3 linked regions of the Diceros bicornis minor genome follow. The protein of the gene in region 2 interacts with the protein of the main gene of each other region in a biochemical or structural test. Links are inferred from orthologs where the notes say so. Each region holds a gene or a part of one and is shown on either strand. Other genes may lie near its edges.

Region 1 (7,418 bases), on a different chromosome or scaffold from region 2:
CACTGCACCACCAGGCCAGCCCCTCAAAATACTTTTGTTTGTTGAATGAATGAACTATCCCTAGAATTTACCCCTCCTATTTCCACTGCCTCCACTCAAGGCCAGTCTTTCAGCATTTCATTCTTGGGGTTTGTTGACGTATCCTATAAACTAGCCAATGAGGTAAACTGATACAAATTCCTCTGCCACATTTTCCATAACTCAGAACCATCCAATGCATTCAAAGTTTTCTTCCCACTGCTTCTCAATTAGAATCATAAAATCTTAGAGTCAGAAGGTACCTTAGAGATAATCCAGTCCAACATTTTAAAGATAAAGAAACCCAAAGACAGTCCAAAGATAGTAAGTGACTAAATCACCCAACCAAGCAGAGCCAGGACCAGAACTTGATTCTTGCCTTTTTTGCTCTAGGATTCACTCCTGGCGGATTTGCTTCACTCCTAACAGATGTCACCTCACTATCCCATCAACAAATCATGTTCATTCCCACTGTTCATGCTCAAGTTGTTTCTCCTGCCCAGCCTGCCCTCTTTTTCTTGCTCCACAGATCCAAATCCTATCTATCCTTCAAAATCTCTTCCTATTCCATTCTTCACGACTTCCTCCTCTGAAAATCTTATGTCCTGAATAAGATGCTAGAGGAAAAGATCACCGTTGACTAATGGGCCAAGTTTAATGCATACTAACACTTCCTACAAAGCAAAGCTACTTGGATGATTTCTTCCCTGAAAACTATTCACTCATTCTTTCCTCCTGTGTTTTAGGAAGTGATGTCAATAAAGATCAACTCACATAGCACCTTCATAAAATGTTCATATACCAGGAAGAGAAGCTCATTCACATCTTTAATAGTAGACATGCAACGCCTGAATGGCCCCAAATCAGTTATATCTCCTCATTAAGAAACAACTCAGCTTATTCACAAAGTCCAAGCCCAGAACTCTCTGATACAACTCACCTAGCAGCCACAGTTCCTTGGTTCATCTCTTTCTCTGCATACTACCATCTATCATTATTCCCTCTAAAACTCCATTTCTAAAGAATAGTTCACACTTCTTTTTCTTACTCCTCTTCCCCACACTGTGCAGTATACAACACCCTGTCTCTTTTATCCTTTATTATTTTCTATATGCCTCTTCAGTGAAACTCCAGTTTGCCACCTCTCATCCAACCTCAACTATTCATATCCAGTCCTTTATACAGAAGTCCCATCTATCTTTTCAGCCTCTCTCAGGTCTTAGGGCATCTCAACCCCATGAAGGTCAATCTCATTTTTCCCCCTTCTCCACTCTTCCTTCCTCTAGAAAAGTGGTCTCAAAAGTGGTGTGGGTGCAGCTCAGAGAAACTGCAAAAGGATCCATTGGGCTGCAGGAAATAAAAATATATTAGAACTGTTTTTTTTTTTTTTTGTGAGGAAGATCAGCCCTGAGCTAACATCCATGCTAATCCTCCTCTTTTTGCTGAGGAAGACAAGCTCTGAGCTAACATCTATTGCCAATCCTCCTTTTTTTTTTCCCCCAAAGCCCCAGTAGATAGTTGTATGTCATAGTTGCACATCATTCTAGTTGCTGTATGTGGGAAGCTGCCTCAGCATGGCCGGAGAAGCGGTGTGTCAGTGCGCGGCCAGTAGCATAGTGCACGCACTTAACCGCTAAGCCACGGGGCCGGCCCTAGAACTCTTATTATACTTATTTTTTCATCTCATCCTTTCTTAAATTCTATTTCTGTGTACACTTATAAGTTACATACCATATTAGTACAGTAGGAGTGATAATTAATAAAGACAAATTCTTGGAGTATATGTTCTTTTACCAATAACAGTGTATGATCAAAAGAGTTTGGAGAAAAACATTCTAAAAATACCTTGATAATGAGGCCAAATAGGTTGCAGACTATATAGAGAATGTATGTATTTAGGTATGTATGCATGCATGCACATATACGGTAGAAAGAAAAACGTCAGTTCATACTCAAAGTCCTAACCATGCCCACCAACCTCTACCCTCTGCCAGCCATCTCAGAATTGTGTCCTACTCAGAAGACTAGAACAGAGGATGGTTTGGCAAAGTCCTTCATTTCCAGTTTGCGGAAAAAAAAAAAAAAATCAAAAGTGCTGAGATACCTTATCTTTCCCATAGAAGTTATTTCAGGACACTGTTCACTATCCTGGCACTGCTTATCGCCTTATACATATACTTTATACGCCACTATCTCCTGAGATTCAGTTCCTATTTCCCAGTCTCTTAAGGCACAACTCATGTTTCCTTCGCTAATGACCGATTTATACAAACCCCTCCGGGATTGGGCTCACACCTCCCTTCATCCTTCCCTCCTCTGGGGATACTGTCCACAGTATCCCTAAGCCGCACAGTCCCGTCCCAGGGTAGAGGACAGTCCATCCACAGTCCCTAAGACCACTTCTCTTTCCTCCTCCGCCCCCGGGAGCTGCCAGCCAGGCTGGAGACGGGAGGGGGGAGGGGTGTGACTCGTCTCCCGTGACTGGCCCAGATGGCAGCAGATTCCGCCCCCACTCCCAGGCACCCCTCCACCCCCGACCCCCTAGGGCTGCCTGTCTGCTTCCCACCCCGCCCCGACCCCACCCCTGGCCTCCCTCACGTCCTCACCCCGGCTCCTGGACACACTCACCATGCTGGGTAAAGATATTGAAGCCGGCCTCCGTGGTGCGTCCCGCCAGGTCCCGCCTGCGGCCGGAGGGCCTGGCTGCACTGCTGCCCCGGATCCCGCGGGGTTGCGGCTGCTGAAGCCCCGGAGCCTCCCCGACGCGGCCCACCTGCTGCCCCATCCCTGCGCTCGCGTACTCCCGCGCCCCCGCCGACCCCTGGTCACATTCCTCCTCGGCTCCGGCCTCGGCTCTTGGCGCTGCTCCGGCCTCTCCTTCCCAGTCCAGGCCCCGGCCCTGAGCGGCCGGGCCGCCGGAGGCTCCGCACCCGGTCTCCTCACAGCAGCCGCCGCGCCGCCTCTCCGCGACTCACAGATTCTCCCCTTCCCTCCCCCTCCCGCGGCTCCGCGCCCCCAACGCTGCCGCTGCCACTGCCGCCGCCGCCTCCGCCGCCGCCATCTTTAAACCACCGAGCGCTGGGAGAGCGTGGGACAGAGCGCCGCCCGCCCCCCACCCGACCAGTCACCTCCGCTGCTCAGGGGGAGGGCGCCCCGCGGCCCCGCCCCCGGCCCCGCCCCGCCCGCGCCGCCCCGCCTTCTCGCAGGGTGGGTCCCCCAGCGCCCACCTCATCTGCACGTCTACCTCTGCTTCAGGTCTTTCGGCGCCTCTGTGTCTTCGCCGCGCCTCGGCCTCCCAAGTCTGGATCCGCTTTAGCCGACCCATCCCACGTTCGGCTCCACATGCTACCGCCTTTTGGGGTTGGTCCGTCTAAAGCCTTCTGTGTCCCACCTCCACCTGTCAAATCAATCAGTCGACCTGAACGCCCCAGGTGCACAGCTCATTAGCAGGCACAGTTGGGACGGAAAAGCACAAGGCATTTGGTGCTTGTCATCCAGGTGAGGATCCCTAAAATGCCCAGGAGAATCCCTTTAAACACCCTTGTCAGCGGCCTAGAGTTAAAATTAAAATTATACAGAATTTACATGAAGATGGTAAAAAGTTATATTATTATTTCATTGTAATTTTTTGAAATTATTTCATGATGTTAAATTGCATTCGCTTTGATTGTCTGCACTCTACAGTCTCATTGGAGAAGCAGTTGTGGCCCCATTCCTCATATTATATTACCATGAATTCCTCTTGAACTTTTACAGCATCTAACCACATGTGTGTTTCTGTTACCCTTACAATGCTTGACAGTATGTAAAGCTAATCTTCCTACTGGCAGGCTTTATATACCGAGCACGTGGTCAGGTCTTTTGATGTCAAAGGAGAAAAAAAATCTTTGAACCTGTTTCTGAGTCAGAACTTACTCATCTTTAACTTATATTGTCTAAAGAGTGACTCAAGCAGAAGAGAAATGTTTTTTATACATGCAAACACATATATATGTATAAATTTCCACTTATCCCCCCACTGCACATTCTTGCATCTTAATATTGATCCAGTTTTTTAAATTCTCAAAGAACTTGATAATTATCCTCCTGCTATTCCTTTGGCTTTCCTCTTTCCTTTATAAAAAGTATTAGTTATTGGAGGTACCATACTGAAAATTTGCTTTAAATTAAAGAAGAGAGGATGGGAGCCATTACCAAGAAGCAGCAAAACAACCACAGGGATAGGTTTAGGGGGGAAAGGTGGACACAGTTCTCCTTTGCGTGTCTTTCATAGAACCAGGCTGACTTTAGATGAACCATCCACTGACATTGATACTCACTACTATAAAAGCATTATGAAATTATTCCGTTGCCATCCAGGGTGTGGCCAGAAATAACTGAAATTGCCCCCAAAATGGGAACAGAAACACTGTGCTTTAGCACTGGATAGAATATGAACTTTCCATTTGGATCAAAGTTTTCCTGTGCTTAAAATACTTTTTTTTCTTTTAATTCCCAAAGCATTTGCAACTACTGAAAAAAAATCATTCACAAAGGATAAAGGTGATCATAGAGCCAGAATTTGGTTTGTTGTTTGATTTTTATTATCTGAGAGAATTTTAATTTGGGGATAACAGTCTCTGCTGATTCATGCATGGTATATAATAGATGAGTATAGTATAGTGCTGTGGTTAAGGGCAGGGACTTTGAAGCCAGACTGCTTGAATTCAAAACTGGGCTCTGAAACTGATGAGCTATTTGCTCTTGGGCAAATACTTAACGTTTTGCACATCAATTTGTGGCTGTTGTGAGAATTAAATTGGTTACTATATATAACGCACTTAAAACAGTATTTGGCATATAATAAGTAACATACAAGCACTTCCTATTAGTACAAAAAAAATGACGTTTTCACAAGTCCATCAACTTTTCCAAGCCTAATTTCTTCAAGTGTTATACACTTAGATCATGGAACAAATTCTACAGAATTTATTCAGGTGAGCCCCCTTCCACCACCTGCCACCTTGCATCTAACTAAAAACAAAAACACCAACCAATAAAAACATGTAGAATCATATATCACTTTATTAGTCATTCCTACCTGGTTATCACCAGCTACCTGCACATGTGAACTATTACATAATACCTTTGTTTTGAATATGAAGATTTCTCTACCATTGATTCTTAAGATTCTGTATAGACTAAAGCAAATGCCCTGTAAGTGGAGACTTAGGATACATGCATTATCTTGTGGATATTTTCCATTCTTTCATTTTCAAAGTGAAATGGGAACTTTCAGAATTGGGGGGTGGTGATAGAGTAGAGAAAATCCTAATTAATTAGGTGGGAACTACATTTAGACATTTAAAACAATCTCAAGTAGTACCATCTCAAACTGAATTAAGGGCAGCTGTGAGCTCCAGGCAGGGGAAGAAACCAAGTGAAAAAAAGTAGCAAGAATGATGCGTGTAGCACTTCCCTGTCTTTACTAGTCTGCATTTCCAGCCTTTTGCCACATTCTTACATTATCTCCCATATCTACTTCTTTTTCTACACCTGTATGGACACAGTGTTCATTTGGACTCAGGCATCTCTCTGTTGGATTCTCCTGCTACTTGCCTTTTCTTCCTAGGTTCCTCACCTTTAGCACCAGGCAATACACTAAAACAAAAATATTTCTTCCTCTCATTGCTTTGGCCGTGTTCCCTCACCCCTTCATCAATTCTAAATTTTTCACCTAATGTTTCAAGACTATTTTTCAGGATACCTTGGATTATAATTGCCTAATGTTCATCATCTCCTGTTTCTCAAACCCTCACCCCTCCTATGACAGGCATGTATGTTTTATCCAGTTAGTCTCTTTCTGGGATGTTTTCTTCTTTAGCTATGACTTTTGCAATAATCATATTCTCTCCAATATGGCTCCCAAGTGACTCCTCTTACAGTATTCAGGATTCTACTCAGGTCCTGCCTCCTTCATAAGAGAATCTCAGACTTATCCATGGAGACCTGATAGTTTCCCTGGACTCGATTGGGTCCAGACCTAAAACAACCACAGCTGTTAACAATTCTTTGCTTATAAAATTCAACTACCTTCCTCTACATCCCCCAAATGTGTTTAATTTTGACACGTGGCTCAGTGTCACGGGTTGGAAAGAACCTTAGAGATCATCCAACCTAATCTCCTGGAATTCCCTCTACAATAACTCCAGTGAGGGGCCCATTTATTTTGAAGGGTTCTAATTGTTAAAAGTTCTTCCTAAAGATAAACTGACATATGCCTTCCTGATAGATCCATCTATTTCACTCCTGGTCCTAGTTCTATTCAGTAGCTACACAGAACAAATCTAACCTTTCTTCTACACAACAGCCCTACAAATATTTGAGAGCTGTCATGTTTCCCCAAATCTTATACTTGAATACGTGCATATGCTTGTGTAGTTATGTTTATTTCTGTCTCTATTATCTACATGGGCTGAGAATGTTTATGTAGATAAATTGGAAGAAAAAATGTCATTTTATATGTAATATTTTTCTCTTTTTTCCAGCTTTATTGAGATATAATTGACATATAACATCATGTAAGTTTAAGGTGTACAACATGTTGATTCGATATACTTGTAGACTGCAAAATGATTACCACCATAGGTTAGCTAACGCCTCCATCACATCACATAATTACCATTTCTTTTTTGGGGTGAGAGCATTTAAGATCTACTCTCTTAGCAACTTTCAAGTATATAATACAGTACTATTAGCTATAATTACCATGCTGTACATTAGATCCCCGAACTTATTCATCTTATAACTGGAAGTGTGTGTTCTTGGACTAACATCTGCCCATTTCCCCTACCCTTAGCCCCTGCTGACCACCACTCTACTCGTTGTTTCTATGAGTTTGGCTTTTTTCGATTCCACATACAAGTGATAGCATACAGTATTTGCCCTTCTCTCTCTGACTTATTTCACTTAGCATGATACTTTGAAGGCCAATTTATGTTGTTGCAAATGGCAGGATTTCCTTCCTTCTCATAGCTGACTAATATTCCATTATAGATATATGTATATTTCACATCTTCCTTATTCATTATTTTTTTTTAAGATTTTATTTATTTATTTTTTCCCCCCAAAGCCACAGTAGATAGTTGTATGTCATAGCTGCACATCCTTCCAGTTGCTGCATGTGGGACGTGGCCTCAGCATGGCCAGAGAAGTGGTGCGTCGGTGCGCACCCGGGATCCGAACCTGGGCTGCCAGCAGCGGAGCGCGCGCACTTAACAGCTAAGCCACGGGGCCGGCCCCCTTATCCATTATTTTTAAGCTGTTTGTGCATGCAGTACTTTGGATTTTGTTTATGTGTGGTTTATCTTCGCATTGTTGTTGTGTTAAGTCTTTAAAGGCCTATAGAGTGCCAAATATAG
Region 2 (7,462 bases):
TTGGTGGTAAAGTCTTTATAATTGTCATTATAAAGGGCCTTTGGCTATAATATTTCTAGATAAAATGAATCACTAGAAATGAGACAAACTGCTTCAGAATTACTAAAAGATCATCTTCTCTAAAGCTGATTTTTTTCCAAACAAAAGAAGAAAAAATCAAAACAGGTCCTCTTCCTTTACAATTATTTTAAGAAATATCTTAGATCTAGACAACAGAATCCCCCCTATATTTTTATTCTGTTCACATAGAGCAGTAAATAAGGTGCATTCCTTCTGCTTAAGAAATTAGCATTTCAAAAATATGCCACTTTCCCCTGAACTCCAAGCGTGTCTAATAATGCGAGAAGCAGATTGTCTTCCCTCGTTTCCTTAATTTGTTTCATCTAAAAGCAATTCACTCAACATCTTGTCGCCCTCTGGCAGCTTAGTTTACTTATCCGCACTTAATTTCTCATTTGGACCAAAACAAACTCCTGCAAACTGCTACTGACTGCTAACCGCGAGAGGGGAGACACGCAATATGTATTTACTTGGGAACATACAGACACACAAACACAGCCACACACACACACACAGAGCCTCACTCATACACCAGACAGTCACTTGGTTTTATAAAAGCACAACATTAAAACCCGCGGAACTTCCCCCGCCAGGTGCCGGGGTTGGGGCGGGGTAGGAGTGGGTAGGATGAAAAAAGAAGTCCCCGGGGGCGTTTACAGTTTGCAGCGGATCTCCTTAGCCTGCGAGCTGCAGTTACACCAGGGATGCGCGCGAGAGCTCTTCGTTGTGCGGCCCTTTCATCTAGATCACTTTGTGTTTGGAACCAGGGAGGCTCGCCTTTGTGCCCCCAGAATTTCAAGTGCACAGCCACACACGGGACAACAATGGCACGCTAATCCTCGCGCTCTAAATGGGCTCAATTGTGGGTCTGACAATTCGCGGGGGGAAGCGAGGAGAGACGAGCGAGGGCGCGAGCCGGTGTCGCCTGAGACGAGGAAGGGGACAGCTGCAGAACTAATTTGGATTACATCCCTCGCAGAAATTCTGAAAAGGGCTTTTCGGCATAGCTCAACCTCGAGCCGCACAGTTAAGCCCAAATTGCTGCGGACTCGGAGCCGGGTCCCCCAGCGGCTGAGGCTGAACCAGACAGCCCCCAGTAGGTCGCCTCGTAGAAATTCCTCTCGGCTAAGCCTGCCTGTCAGTCGCCGCTGCTTTTGAATGGGTCAATGTGCATAATCAACCCATTGAGGGCAAATATGAAGGGACCCGGGGTAGGGAGGGGGATAAAAAGGGATGTAGCTAAGAGGCCGCTTGGAATCTCGAGTCCGTGTTGGTGTCAGTCCGGAGGTGGCCGGAGCGCGGGACCCGGTATGCATGAAGAATTTCGGGGTAATTGGGAGGGTGCAAACGGCCAGAACAGACAGCGCGCATTGTGCCATTCGAAGGTCATTCTGAAAGACTCGGTGATTGTAACTTGTTATTTACTAGGCAAGGAGGGGGCGGCGGCGGCGGGGGCGGAGCGGCGAACTACAGCGCGCTGTTTTCTTGGTGAGGTCAGCAGGACACCCTCCGGGGGCCTGAAGCTCTCCTATCTACACTCCCGGGAGCTTTATCTCCCCTAGCTGCCTCCCACGCTCCCGCGACCAGCCCTGGATGGCTCCGGAAATCTCTCTGGCTCTCCAAAAGGCCCCCCTGGCCGCGTGAGACACCGCTTCTCCTCCGTCCTTTCCTGTCCCACGTTCATCCCCAGGAAACTCAAGTGTCAGAAACTTGGAGCTCCCTCGCACTGCAGGCGCTATCACTAGCCCTGCGCGGCGCGGAGCGCCGGCCCCACTGCGCTGCCTCCCCGGGGTCAACTGGCCGTCTGCCTGTCCGGGTCACCGGCGCGCAGGCTCTCCAGCAAACAGTGGCCGCGCACCCGGCGCAGCCACGCCCGCCTGGGGTTCAATCCATCCGCGCGACGGGTCGGCTCGGCAGCCACGCCGGGCAGTAAACAGAGAAGTTGGAGGGACTCCGGCCAATAGCAAGTTGAACTACAGGAAGAACTCTTCCTGGTGCCAAACACAGCAACCGACGGGAAGGCCGGGCTCCCGGCTCAAGTATGTCAAGCCTTTTTTTTTTTTTTTTTAAGGAGTCAGGCGGCCAAGCCAGCTCCCCTCCAGTCAACGGGGCGAGGGCTGCGGGACGCCGGCCGAGGAGGCCCAGAGTTCCGGGCCCCCGGCCGAGGCGCGCGCGCCGGCCCGCCCGCCGCGCTCCAGCTGCCCAGGCTGGGCTCAAGTCGGGTCTGACCCCGCAAGGCTCGGGCGACTGGGGGCGCGGTGGCCGCCGGCAGCACACACAGGTGCAAAGCCCGGCTCTCGGAGCTCCTCTCCCCACAGCCCTCGCGCTCCTAAGCAGCCCAGCCGGCAGCGCCCCGGGACCCCGTCCGTCGCGGCCCTGGCAGTGCGCGCCTCTCCGAGGCTTCTCCCTCCGGGGGCGCAGACGGGGAGCGGACCGTCTCCCCTGACTCGGGATTCGGGTCTCCCACGTCCTGCACAAGCGCGCCCAGAGAGATTCCGCTTAGGCTCATAGAAAACGCGCCAGAAAGAAGGGGGTTCGGGGGAGAGAAAAAGGGAGAGGGGCGCAGAGGGATTTTTCACGATCCATAAAACACACGCACAGACAGAGGGTAAGTTTGGGGACAGAAAGAGGGGCGAACGAAAGCCCCAGGATGAGGCCCCGGTGGAGTGGTCCCTCCGCGCCCGGGAGCGAGCGGGTCTCAGGCTGGGCGAAGGGGGCGCGGGCGCTACCATCGCGGCCAAGCCGGCGGCAGCAGGTTCCACCCCGGGAGCGCGACAGGGAACCGCGACCCACCTGACTGAGAAGCGCTGGGCTGGACGGTCCCCGCCGCCACGAGAAGGCTCCCCCAGACCCACAGTCCTGTCGCCAGCTTCATTTTTTGGACGTCTCAGATCCCGTGCTGACAATTACATGTCCAAATGGCATATCCCCTTTCGGGCACGCGGAGGAGAGCCCGCAGCCAGGCGCGCGTGGGGGCGCAAGGGGGACAGGCGCGCGTGGGGGCGCAAGGGGGACCGGCTCCGAGCGGGGACGCCCGGTCCGCGGGTCCGGGGCCGGGGCCCCGAGGAGAGGAGAGTGTGCGCGCGCGTGGGAGGGTGCCCGAGTGTGTGCGCGGGGCGCTCCGGGCCGGACTGTGCAGCTATTCCCCGTGTGAGCCTTCGCTGTCTCGCTCCCTCCTCACTTTCTCTCTCTCACTGGTTGGTCCACGATAAAAAGGAAGGGGGAAAAAGGTTTCCAAAAAAAGTTGATTGCAAAGAGGCGGTAGGTTTCCGGCCTCTCCCCCCAGCCGCGCTATGTTCGGCTCCCTTTGCAGTGTCCCTGCACCTCCAGTCCAAATTGGGAGGGAAGGGGGGGGGAAGCGTCCTGCTTCTCCCCCGATCCCGTCCTCCTTTTCCCTGTCAGCTTGCCTCACGCTTGTCCGGCGGCTGCGGTAATTAAAGCTCCGAGCGTCACTTCCAACGCTCCGCGGTCTCCAGCTGCAGCCCCACAGAGAAATTAATAAGGCTCCGGCAGAAAAAAAAGGGGGAGGGGGCGGACAAAACCACCCTCACGCAGCCAGCCTGGCTCGGCTCGGCCGCGCAAACCCCGCCCCCGCTCTGACCCAACTAGCCACGCCCTTTCGCCCGCCCCCCCAAAGGGAAATCTTATTGGCTCAGCCACTCCCCAAAATCCTCGGCCTCAGGAGTTGGGAAAACACCTGTCAGGGAGCCGGAGGGGGGGGGGTGTGGGGGCGGAGAAGCCGGATTTAAAGGGCTCACCCGAGGCCACAGACTGAAACAGAGGCCCGGGACAGCTGGCCCGTGGAGCGCGCGGACCACACGAGGGATGCTTGCAGAAAAGATCTTTTTTAAACAAGAAAGTCACCATTTTTTCGTATTGCCCCACGGTGCTCATCCACAGACTGGATTTTCCCTAGAAATAGAAGAAAAGACAACGTTGCTTCCGGCTAAAAGCCTCCCCCCAACTCTCTACCCGCACCCTCCCATTCTCTACGCTCAGAGAGTAGTTTAAAAGCCGATTCAGTGACTGTTAGCCTCTGCAGATTGGAAGTCCGGATCCCTTTTCTCAGCCTCGCCGGCTCTCCCAGTATTCCCACCATTCCAAACTGACCAACACTGCGTCAGCTGAAAACTCCGCATTTGTAGAGCTGCATCCTTTGATTTTAGACTTGATGAGTCTTTTCACCTTTTCCTTGGACTCGAGGACGACTTGGTTTGGGGTTCATTCTCATTAAGTAGATTCTAGTCCAAACCTACTGATTTGGTTCTAAAGAGCTAGAAATTGTCCCAGGCCTGAGCTATTCAGTCTGAAAGGATTAAGAAGCCCATGTCAGGGATAACCAACCTCAGATGATTAGGCTTCCTCGACAGCGGACCCAGCTCTAGGCTCCTTCCAGGTTTTCACTCTGCAAGGTCACCGCTCCCCAAGCCCCAGGTCATTGCTAGCTGTGGGAGTTTCCGGGTTCTTCTGGATCTAAAATATCCTGGGATTGGGTCATATCTGTGTACATATCCCTCGCCTTTTACAGCTCTGGAACTGTACCCTGGGCAGAGGCCAGAACCTCCTGGGAGGTTGTAGGTTATTGGTTTGCTATTTGCACAGGCATTCTTTGTATGGATTATTTTCCTTTTTCAGTTTCTCTAGAAGCAGCAAATATATAAATGAAGAGTATCAGGGGAACTTAAAAATCAAGCCACCTGCCTCCTCACCCATCATTTGAGACCTTCCCCTTCCTCCTCCACATCTTTTATCTATAGCCTTGTCCCTTAAGAATTTCCAGGAGCTGAGCACAGGGAGAAAAAACAGCCTCTTTCCAGAAGCCCGAAGCCTTCCCTTTCTTAGGCCCACAGCTAGCAGCAGGCACAGAGAGGAGGCCAAACAGGTTGAGCATGCTGTTTTACCCAGAAGCAGCCTTGGGCCAGGAGAAGCTAAGCCTAGAGCAGGTGATGGTGACTTCACCAGAGTGGTACTGATTGCAGCAGAACTGTGCACACTGCTCTTTGGGATTATCTTTGTTTTCTATTTTTATCACCTCGACTCTCTGTTTTCTTTTCTTTCATTCCATTTCTTCTCAGCATCCTTGTCTCAAATCCCCTTCTACTACTTTTAATGAATTTCAGACACCTCTCTTCCATGAAAGCTTCTTCTTTTTAAAATTTCCATTCTGTCCCCAGAATAACAACTTAAGCGATTCAGGATTAAGTTTCTGTATCAAAAAGAGAAGTCTTGTTTCTGATAACAATTATGTTGCAAGAAGTGAAGAAATAGATTGTGTACTTTAACTTAAAGTTGAGGGAAACATTAAATACTCTGAATATGTTGAGTTTTTTAAAATATATTTGTGTCTGTCGTGATAGCTTTTACTCCTCCACGAATTTTATGGCGATTTTGTTGCTATAAAATTGTGGCAGGAGGGGCTGGCCCAACTGCTTCGGCAGCCCGGGGTTTGCAGGTTCGGATCCCGGGCACAGACTGACACACCACTCACCGAGCCATGCTATGGCGGCGTCCCATATAAAGTAGAGGAAGATGGGCACGGATGTTAGCACAGGGCCAATCTTCCTCAGCAAAAAAGAGGAGGATTGGCAATAGATGTTAGCTCAGGGCTAATCTTCCTCACAGACAAAAAGTAAATAAATAAAAAATAAAATAAATAAAATTTTGTCAGAAACTCTCCTATACACTTTGATCCCATTTTCCTGGTTTTAACTGATTGAAACAATGATTAATACCTGGCCAAATTTGGGTATCTGAGCTGCAGCCTATAAAATGAATTGGCAAGAAAGCTCTATGCCCAAAAAGCATCCTATATTCAATGGTGACTGGTCTACCCAAGCAGAGTCTAGTTCAAATAATTTGAATATGAGACCCTAGAGACTTAGACAGAAGGTGGTATTCTGTGGGGGCAAACTGGAAGTGAAAACATAGAAGCCATGAGCTAGAGTCAAGAATTAATTCTTTTTGTGTTTGCTCCCATTTGCTTCCCAACATCTAAGGAGGGGACATTTGCCACCTGATGTGGAAAGCACATGCTAACTGGATTGCTAGAGGATTTCTGAGATGGGTCTCTGTATTTCTTCATTTTCCTATCGATCTTTATAATAGATCCCCATCAGTTGAGTTAACTAAAATATGTTGCTGTTATTTGCAACCTGGAAAAAAACACATCTAGTAACCCATCATGTTACTTAGCAAACCGTAGGTGAATATCTGGAATTATCTGCTCAGTACCCCTTTTCTAGGAACTGTCCTTCCCTCAGTTGTACATCTTTAACTTGGGTCTGCCTCCATGGTACAACAATCCCCACTCCCTTGTTCTAAGTTGGACCAATCAAAATGCCTTCATCACTGATGATTGGTTGAGAGATGGTCATTTCTGCTCAGTATCTTCCCTGGGATTTTTGTGCATGGGAAAGAAAGAGTTCATATTCTTTCATTCACTGGTAGCTTTTGAGATCTAAAAGTCCGGAGTTGGCCTGTCTATATTTCCTTCTTTGTAGGGATAACCAGGCTGCGGTGAGAAAGAGTGAAGCTGCCATTTGAAAGGAGCCAAAGCCCAGGAAGGTCTGGAAAAATACTCAAGCTGTTCCTGTTGCTTAGTTGTTCAAACCCCGTTTTTCCTTAAGCTAGTTCAATTTTTGTTTTTGAAACCAGAACTCCTGAAATGGTAAAAGAACTTCTGAAACCAGAACAGCGTGAAGTGGTAAAAGAACTTCTCCAGCCTGAGTGAGCTCATAGAGACCATCACGCCCCTTGAGGAGGATGTCTTGATATGGCCCATGTTCAGTTTCCCTTCCCAGTTTCTCATGACTTCCCTTGGCTGAAGCCAGAACCCCAACAAAGAGATTCCTTTGGCCTTTGCTGCTTCCCCATATCTCCTTCTCCACTTCATTTCTTCCATTAGTGGTAGAATTCAAAGAGAGTCTTGACATCATGAGTGACAGAATGCTACTGGTGAGAGAAAGGAACACATTGATCTCAGAGTTCAATGTTGAGTTGGACACTTAACTTTGCCCAGAGTCTGATAGCTCACTTCAATCTCCTGCTTGTTTCTAAGACTTCCCTAAAGGTAAGATTAGAGCTTGCTGCTTTAGACATTTTGTCATTGGCCATAAGTATAAATTTCCGATAAATATCAACTAAGAAAAGAAAACAACACCCTATTGTAAATCAGTTATCTTCTCCTGAACATTTTAAAATAAATACAGGATTCTAATTTTCCCTCCCTGTCCATCATGATCTCCCTCGTCATCTTTCTAAGTTATCTTGTGATCATGAGAAACTTACTTCATATACCTACACCCATTGCCTTGTCTTTAAAGGAAGGGATTGTTATGTCCCAAATCTAAGACTTCGGGGCCGGCCTGGTGGCGCAAGTGGTTGGGTGCGCGCGCTCTGCTGC
Region 3 (7,582 bases), on a different chromosome or scaffold from region 2:
AGTCCCAGATGAGCTCCCAGCTGACCCCTGGCATCAGCTGCCAGTCAGGTGTGGGAGCCAGCTTGAATGTTTCAGCCCAGTCGCACCTCCAGCTGGTTGCAGCCCCAGCTGACATCCAAGTGGGCAGAAGAACCACTCAGCTGAACCCAGTAAACCTGCAGACGAGTGAGATACAATACAATGGTTTTGTTTTAAGCTATTTCAGGGCGGTTGGTTTCATAGCAATACATAACTGAAATAGTATTCCAGAGAAAATCCTGTAACTGAGACTGTGGAAGAGCTCGTTTAATTTAAAGTCTAAATAGAGATACTTAAATAGCCTATGATTAATCCTTATAACTTTCGCAACTCACTAGGCAAAATCTTAGAAGGCTTTTTTGGAAACTAGGCACCTTTTAAGTGTGTTTACCAGCTACATTAAGGTAATATTGCCTATTTCATTGTTATGCTTTCTGGGTCACTTATTCTCCCCTTGAAGTGGTAGGTGAGGAATACATAATCAAATGCATTCTTTTAATTAAAAAAGAGAAGCAGTATTTTTCAGCAAAAATAGCATGAGTCAGACCTTTGTTCAAATCTTGGCCTGTCACTTAATAGCTGTGTGTCCATGGCTAAGTTACCTAAGCCGCCTGAGTCTGTTTCTTTGTTTTCCAGATAATATGTATTATACAGGATTAGAGAAGATCAGAAATAATGTATGTTAAGAATCTACAGAGTGCCTGGCGCAAAGGTGGAGCTCAATAAATGTAGCTTTTTTTGTATGAAGGAGGTGGTAACGTGGTGTTAAAAAGGCAGTAAAAATATGTCTCTTGTTCATTTTTTAAGGGAACATGGAAATATGGGTTCCTTGAGCTTTATTGGGGTGTAGCCTAAAGGGTTAAAGTGATACATCCTTGCACTTCTTCCTACAAACAGGCATGTTTTATCCAAAGGAAATTTCGATCCCTGTCCCATTCACACTACCCTTCCTCACTTCTTTATTGCTATAGAGAATTTGATAAAGGGATAAAGACAACTTCTGGCTCCTAGTCCAAAGGGTAGAACTATTGGAGAATTCCTTTTATTCTGTACCTCCTGTCCTACTCCCTTTCCTCAATTATTCACTTTCCAATTTGGTGGGAAACAACTTTATAGGATGCTGGCTCTCTGCACTCTGATCTTATCTCCAAGGTGCCACAAGGTTCATGGAGTACATCTCCAAGGAGGACACATGCACATCCCACAGTCTGATTCGTGCAGTCCAGGGGACGGAATGGCTGTGGTGGCCCACAGGATTCTGTCTCTGATGCTTTGGCCTAGTCTTTGTATAATGTGTTATTTTCCTTTGTAGGAAATTACTCAGCACTGTTCTAGTTGTCATATTAAAGATGCGTGTTTCTAATATGACAGCTACAGCAGTGCCCAGTGATTTCTTTGTCTGCTGAATGTGTTTGTTCTTAACAATTATGGTGAGGTGAGTAGTTGTGATTGGTGCAAGTTAAGGACCACTTTTTTTTTTTTTCATGAGGAAGATTGGCTCTGAGCTAACATCTGTTACCAATCTTCTTCTTTTTGCTTGAGGAAGATGGTCCCTGAGCTAACATCTGTGCCAGTCTTCCTCTACTTTGTATATGAGACGCTGCCACAGCATGGCTTGATGAGCAGTGTGTAGGTCTGTGCCGGGGATCAGAACCCACCAACTCCGGGCCGCCAGAGTGGAGCACATGAACTTAACTACTGTGTCACCAGGCCGGCTGCAAGGACCACTTTTTACGTTATTGGTTACTCTTCTTGGTGTCTTCTCTTACCTGCCTGACTTGGGCTACCTGAACCCCATTTTGGTCTTTGAAATTTAGATGACCTTGGCTGTGGATAAAATGCCAGTGGATTATACTTGAGTATAATTTTGGTTTGGGGCAGAATTGAGGAGTTAAGTGCCACATATTTACACCGGGTGATCTCTGAAGGAATTATAAGTTATCCTAATTTAGCGTAAACATTTACTTGTTTATATTGTTTTTGAATATTTACATGAATAGTGATCATTAAAATCTTAATACCTCAGTTGGAATACTGCAAATGCTTCAATATAGATTTTCTATGATATGAAATTTTATGTCCATTGCTAGAATCTTTCAGAAAGCTCTCACTGTTAAAAATAGAAACTAGGCATAGGAATTATTTTAAAATACTGGTGCATAAATGCAGGTTATGTAGAGGTGAACTTCAGGATAACTCATTTTGCCCATAAGCTTGTCATAGTCATAATTATGATTATGCAAATTTGTTCAGGCTTTTGTTGTTGTTAGTTACAGTACTACAAGCACATTTTAAGATATGAATGCCCCCTAAATCATTTATAATTATGGACTAATTTCATTTTGAAAGAAATGATAATATTCTTATCTCATGCCCACTTAAAGCTTAAAAATATTTCAAAGCAGTGGAGATTGTGCTATACAAAATATCATGTGCTTAAAGCAGATTTTTCTCAGGACTTGAGCTCTAAATTTTATTGCTTCTGGGACTCATATGATGGTTATGTAGTATAGATTTAGAGAGAGTTTTTAAGACTCCTGTTGACATAGGTGAGCAAAATGGTTCCTTGGAAACCATTCGGGTGTCCAGTCACAGTAAAGCGTGGATTAAAGGTTACGATGCATATAGTGTGCGCTGACGTGTAACCAACGGGAGGTTTGGGGGACCATGTGCTCTCTATTGAGGACAGTGCACTTCTTCCCAGTATCTTAATGACTGCTATCTTAAAAGGGGGGAAAAAATCAACATTGAAACTATCTGTAAGGTAATGCTACTGAAACCTAACCCAAAAGGCATGCTCTAATAGAAAACTCTTCTTAATACTTTCAGTGTGGTTATAGCTGAGGACATGTGGTATATATTACAGCACTCAGGGAATTCAAACCTCCGCAGTGTGAAGTCACAATGAAGGCTAATTTCAAAAAGAAGTGGTAGCCTTTGCTCCCTTCGTAGCTCTGTTACTTCCCAGGGTTTCTTATTAGCTTGATATTCATCTAGGACTGCTGTGAGTGGCACAGGGAAATGGAAATTTAAAGAGGACCAGAGTGGGGACGTATGAGTCTCTCTCCCCTCCCCTAGCACCCGCCTCCTTCACCATACACTCAGCATTTCACACTGGGCATTACAAAGTCTTACACAATCATTGCAAAAAGGGCCAAAGGCAGAGCTGTCCATGGTTTGAAAGAAATGTTCGAACTGTTGGTTGAAAATCAGGTAATAACAGTCCTGTTGGTGAACAAAACTTACTGGAGGGCTGAGGAAGGAACGCTATCTCTCAGCAGCAGGCAGGAAGTAATTGCTGCTTGAAAAGCTTACCTCTCTAGGGAGGAATCAGATATCAGACTTTGCCAAGCCCCAGGTCCAACCCAGAAGGTCCCACCTACATCCCCAGCCTCAGCCCAGCTTTGTTAGATTGCTAGCATCGATCGCTGCCTTTTCCTGACCCAACAGTGGGTGCAGGAAAGAGAGCCAGCCAGACTGAAAGCAAGCAAGGTGGGGGTGGAAGACTGGGGCCGCTTTTGCAGAGAGAAAAAGAGAAAGAGAAGAAAAAGGGTGGGGGCCATGGGGACCAAGCTTAACTGGTGCCTGCCTGCTTCTCTTTGATTTGATGGCCTTTATTCCTTCTAATTGGATAAAATAGGAAGTCACTGGCAGTCCTGTGTTGCTGGGTATACTGATTTTACTCAGACCAGCCAAGCAGCTCCAGAGTGCGGGTAGAGGGTGGGGGTTGGGAGAGGAGGGAGGAAAAAGAAAGAGAGAGAGTGAGAACGTCTTTGGATGAGGAGGGGAAAGAAAGAGAAAGAGACTATGAAGAAGGGAAGAGCCGCAGAGGAAGAAAGTGAATGAGCGCTCAAGAAGGACAAAGAGGAGTGGTTGCGGGGTGGGGGTGGAGGCAGGGCGGGGAGGGGAGTTACCGCCCCTCCTGGCCGCACTCGTCCCTTCAGATCCCTCTGTGATGATACTGTTTGCAGTGATGCTCGGAGGGCAGGCACCTGCTGCTCTGTAATGATTCAGCCTCTTTCAGCCGTCGCGTTAACACAACAGGATGCTGTTGCTACTGTCGCTGCTGCCTCTCCTGCCGCCGCCGCTGCTGCCGCCGCCGCCGCCGCCGCTGATTCTGCTCTTGCTTTTACTTCTCCTGCATGACAGTTGTTTTCTCCATCTAAGCAGACACCAGCTTCAGATGCTCGAGGTGAGAAACATGCCTTTCAGTTTGGGCTACTGGTTCACTTAATTGACCAACCATCAGCTGGATTTCTATTCTGGCCCCTGCCCTCTTGACTAGCACGGATGGTTTGGAGAAGCATTTAAAAGAACTACTAAAGTGGCCCAGAAACAGCAGTAAAGAATTACCATATACTTTTATTTGGTAGTTGCTAGGGGCTTTTTTTCCTTCCTTCCTCCTGAACTCCTCTTGCTTTTGATAATGGCCTTGGACTTGGACGACTTATCGATTTCCCCATGTAAGATGCTGTATCATTTGGTTGGGGGGGGCCCTGCCTGGTAATGGACCATGAGAGAGGCCAGGCCTTCTGGAGGTGAGCCCATGGAGATCTCTTCCCCAGACATGTCTGGGGTAGCTGCAGAGAGGTGCTCCAGCCCCTCCACTCAGCTGAGTACAGACCCATCTCTTGACGGGCTTCCGGCAGCTGAAGACATGCCAGAGACCCAGACTGAAGATGGGAGAACCTCCGGACTCGTGGGCCTGGCAGTTCCCTGCTGTGTCTGCCTGGAAGGCGAGCGCCTGAGAGGTTGCCTCAACTCGGAGAAAATCTGCATTGTCCCCATTCTGGCTTGCCTCGTCAGCCTCTGCCTCTGCATTGCCGGCCTCAAGTGGGTATTTGTGGACAAGATATTTGAGTATGACTCTCCCACTCACCTTGACCCCGGGGGGTTAGGCCAGGACCCTATTATTTCTCTGGATCCAACTGCTGCCTCAGCTGTGTGGGTATCATCTGAGGCATACACTTCACCTGTCTCTAGGGCTCAATCTGACACTGAGGTTCAAGTTACAGTGCAAGTTGACAATGCTGTTGTGTCCTCTGAACCTTCAGCGGTACCCACCCCGAAGAATCGTATTTTTGCCTTTTCTTTCCTGCCGTCCACTGCACCATCCTTCCCGTCACCCACTCGGAGCCCTGAGGTGAGAACACCCAAGTCAGCAACTCAGCCACAAACAACAGAAACTAATCTTCAAACTGCTCCTAAACTTTGTAAGTAGAGAGAGAGATGGTGATGGATAAAAGAAAGGGTGGGTTGGAGATCCTAAAAGGTGTTCTCCAGGGCGTGTAGCTGTTTCCTCTCCTCCTTGTATTTTAATTGCCTGGTTTTGTTGAAGCCTATCATGTGACTGGGATGCTTGGGCTGGCGTTGAAGAGATGAGTAAAAAGATCTTGTAAACTCCTAGTATGAATCAGTGCTCTAACAGAAGCTCGCTCTAGCCAGATGGTTAAATCTGGGGTGGGGGGCCCAAAACTTCAGCGTCTGAGTTAAATTCAATTGATTTCTAATACTTTTTAAAATTAAACGTCAGCCCATCCTGTATTTTTTATATAAATTTGATTTTCACATAGCAGTGAGTCTGATTTTGTGTCTTTCTTTTTCCACCATAGAGTTCCTATCACCTCTCCCCAGCTTTCTGATACCCTGTGCCTCCCAGCCATCCCAAGCTGCCTGTTCTCTTTCTCCATCTCTTCTTCCTGTTCCTTTAACCACTTCTCCCTGCATTTGTGTTTTAATTGGTTCCTCCAAATATTGCATCAAGTCTTTAGACATTTATGATGCTCACCTCTCGCCAGCGTCAGGCTACAGCTGTCCTACCCAGATTGTAGTTTCAGTTTCTGAGCACTTACGAGAGGCAGCTTAATTTTGTTCAGAACACAGAATAATTCTGCATGAAAAGATTTTCCCAGATTAGTTTTGTCTTCTGTAATCAAATGTTTAAATAGCTTCCTTGGCCGTTATTAAAAAGTACAGAATACATTAGTAAGCTACGTCGTTTTTTTAGACATGTGTCATTTCGCCCATCAGATTGCAGCAGTCCAGTTTAATAATCTGTGAGTGAAGAGAGCCCATGCTGTTGAAACAAAACAGAACAATATACTGCTGTTTGTACCTGGTCATTGCAATGCTTTGTAATGGAAAGTTGACAAGGATGAGACCGTGACTAGTCAGATTGTTCTAAACATCAACGTATAACGGAGGAGTTTTCTATAGCTCTTTTTTTTTTTACATTTCTAATTTATTGTTGTTTCTCTATCTTCTATCACTTTTACCATTGATGAATATTTCTTGAGTAGAAAAAAGTAAAAGATCAGAGGATTTGGTTCTTAAAAACGTGTGTAAAATCTCTTAAAGGAGAGTTGAGGATAAGGCTTCTGTGATGAAATACCCCGTTTGCTTCCCTCTAAATGGAAATGAAGAATAAAAAATATCTTTTCCAGACATTATGTTCAGGATGAGGGGGATCCGTGTGTTACAGAAACAGAGAAAAACTTGATTTGGGCTTATGAATCAGGATCATTTTATACACACCAGTTTTAGTGGCAAAGGTTTAAAAAAAAAAAGAGGCTTGTTTTTCAGGTGTAATTAGGGAAGAACGTCCTACTGCTTTGTATCTTTATCAAATCCCTGAAGCATCATTAAAGGTCTGACAGACATCGCTGCATTCACTGCCTCTTCCCACCTGGCAAAGTGACCGGGAAATAATACCCAGATGAAATGACAGGCTATAAAAAGCAAGTCCAAATCCTGCAAAGAGAAGCAAAATTCACTATGCAGACAAGGTTACTTCTTTGTCTTTATCATTTTCAACTTAAGTCTTTAATTAAAATGTGCCTGAATAGGTCTAGTTGTCCAGAAAAAGAAAGAAGACTCTTTGAAAAACTCAACTAAATTCTATAATTCTGTCCGCGGAAAACAAGCAAACAAAGAAATACCCAGCACATTTTCCTGATCTAGGACCATATCAAAAAGTATGTCGTGACGTTTTGAGAAATTATTTTTTAAGGGCAATTCTTCTAGCAAGTGTTTTAATAGATTACACATTCCATATAGTTTCTTTTCTTTTCGTGTTTCCAAGCCAGAGCATTGATTTTCTGGCATTTGCTTTGAGTGGAAAAGATTTACTGCTGCCTAAAAGCATCCTAGGGGCCAGTTCTGGCCAGATGCACAGCTGCAGTGTTCTGAAGTCCATTGGAGAGAAGCCTGGAAAAGCAGTCTGGGAAGTGCTGGTCTCCTGAAAAGTTAGGGGAGAGTGTTGGTTAACACTTTACAGCCTATAGGGTTTTCTGTATGGGAAACTCTGTGTTAATTTTTTGATCTAGTGCCTGAAAACAACAAAAACACTAGTATCCTAAAAATTGTGTTTGTTTTTTTTTTTGGAAAGGGGTTGGTCCAGGGAGCTTTGTTTTCAGAAACTCATAAGTGGTTGTTATTGTTGTTTAACAAGCTTGTAAACATTAACTAAAGGAAAGCAAAAAAAAAAAAAAAGCTTGGAATTAGATTGTCATTTTATAATCTCTTTCACTTTTTTCTTTTCAACTAAGAAAGTATTGCTTAGTCA

The links. The genes of interacting proteins can lie anywhere in the genome.
Region 1: the proteins of ERBB4 (region 2) and ABL2 form a complex in vitro, tested with the Homo sapiens proteins (2 studies listed by BioGRID and IntAct, with this or other methods). The link is inferred for Diceros bicornis minor from reciprocal best matches to the Homo sapiens genes ERBB4 and ABL2.
Region 3: the proteins of ERBB4 (region 2) and NRG1 form a complex in vitro, tested with the Homo sapiens proteins (2 studies listed by BioGRID and IntAct, with this or other methods). The link is inferred for Diceros bicornis minor from reciprocal best matches to the Homo sapiens genes ERBB4 and NRG1.

The regions. Positions count from the first base shown.
Region 1 is NC_080743.1:87,717,854-87,725,271, reverse strand, and holds the start of ABL2 (tyrosine-protein kinase ABL2), read right to left. Parts: upstream 3,019-7,418; 5' UTR 2,804-3,018; coding exon 2,647-2,803; intron 1-2,646. UniProt on the Homo sapiens protein: Non-receptor tyrosine-protein kinase that plays an ABL1-overlapping role in key processes linked to cell growth and survival such as cytoskeleton remodeling in response to extracellular stimuli, cell motility and adhesion and receptor endocytosis.
Region 2 is NC_080776.1:3,746,251-3,753,712, forward strand, and holds the start of ERBB4 (receptor tyrosine-protein kinase erbB-4), read right to left. Parts: upstream 3,011-7,462; 5' UTR 2,936-3,010; coding exon 2,854-2,935; intron 1-2,853. UniProt on the Homo sapiens protein: Tyrosine-protein kinase that plays an essential role as cell surface receptor for neuregulins and EGF family members and regulates development of the heart, the central nervous system and the mammary gland, gene transcription, cell proliferation, differentiation, migration and apoptosis.
Region 3 is NC_080768.1:30,156,122-30,163,703, forward strand, and holds the start of NRG1 (pro-neuregulin-1, membrane-bound isoform), read left to right. Parts: upstream 1-4,564; coding exon 4,565-5,231; intron 5,232-7,582. Other genes in the region: uncharacterized LOC128092250 homolog, read left to right, coding at 4,064-4,252. UniProt on the Homo sapiens protein: Direct ligand for ERBB3 and ERBB4 tyrosine kinase receptors. Concomitantly recruits ERBB1 and ERBB2 coreceptors, resulting in ligand-stimulated tyrosine phosphorylation and activation of the ERBB receptors.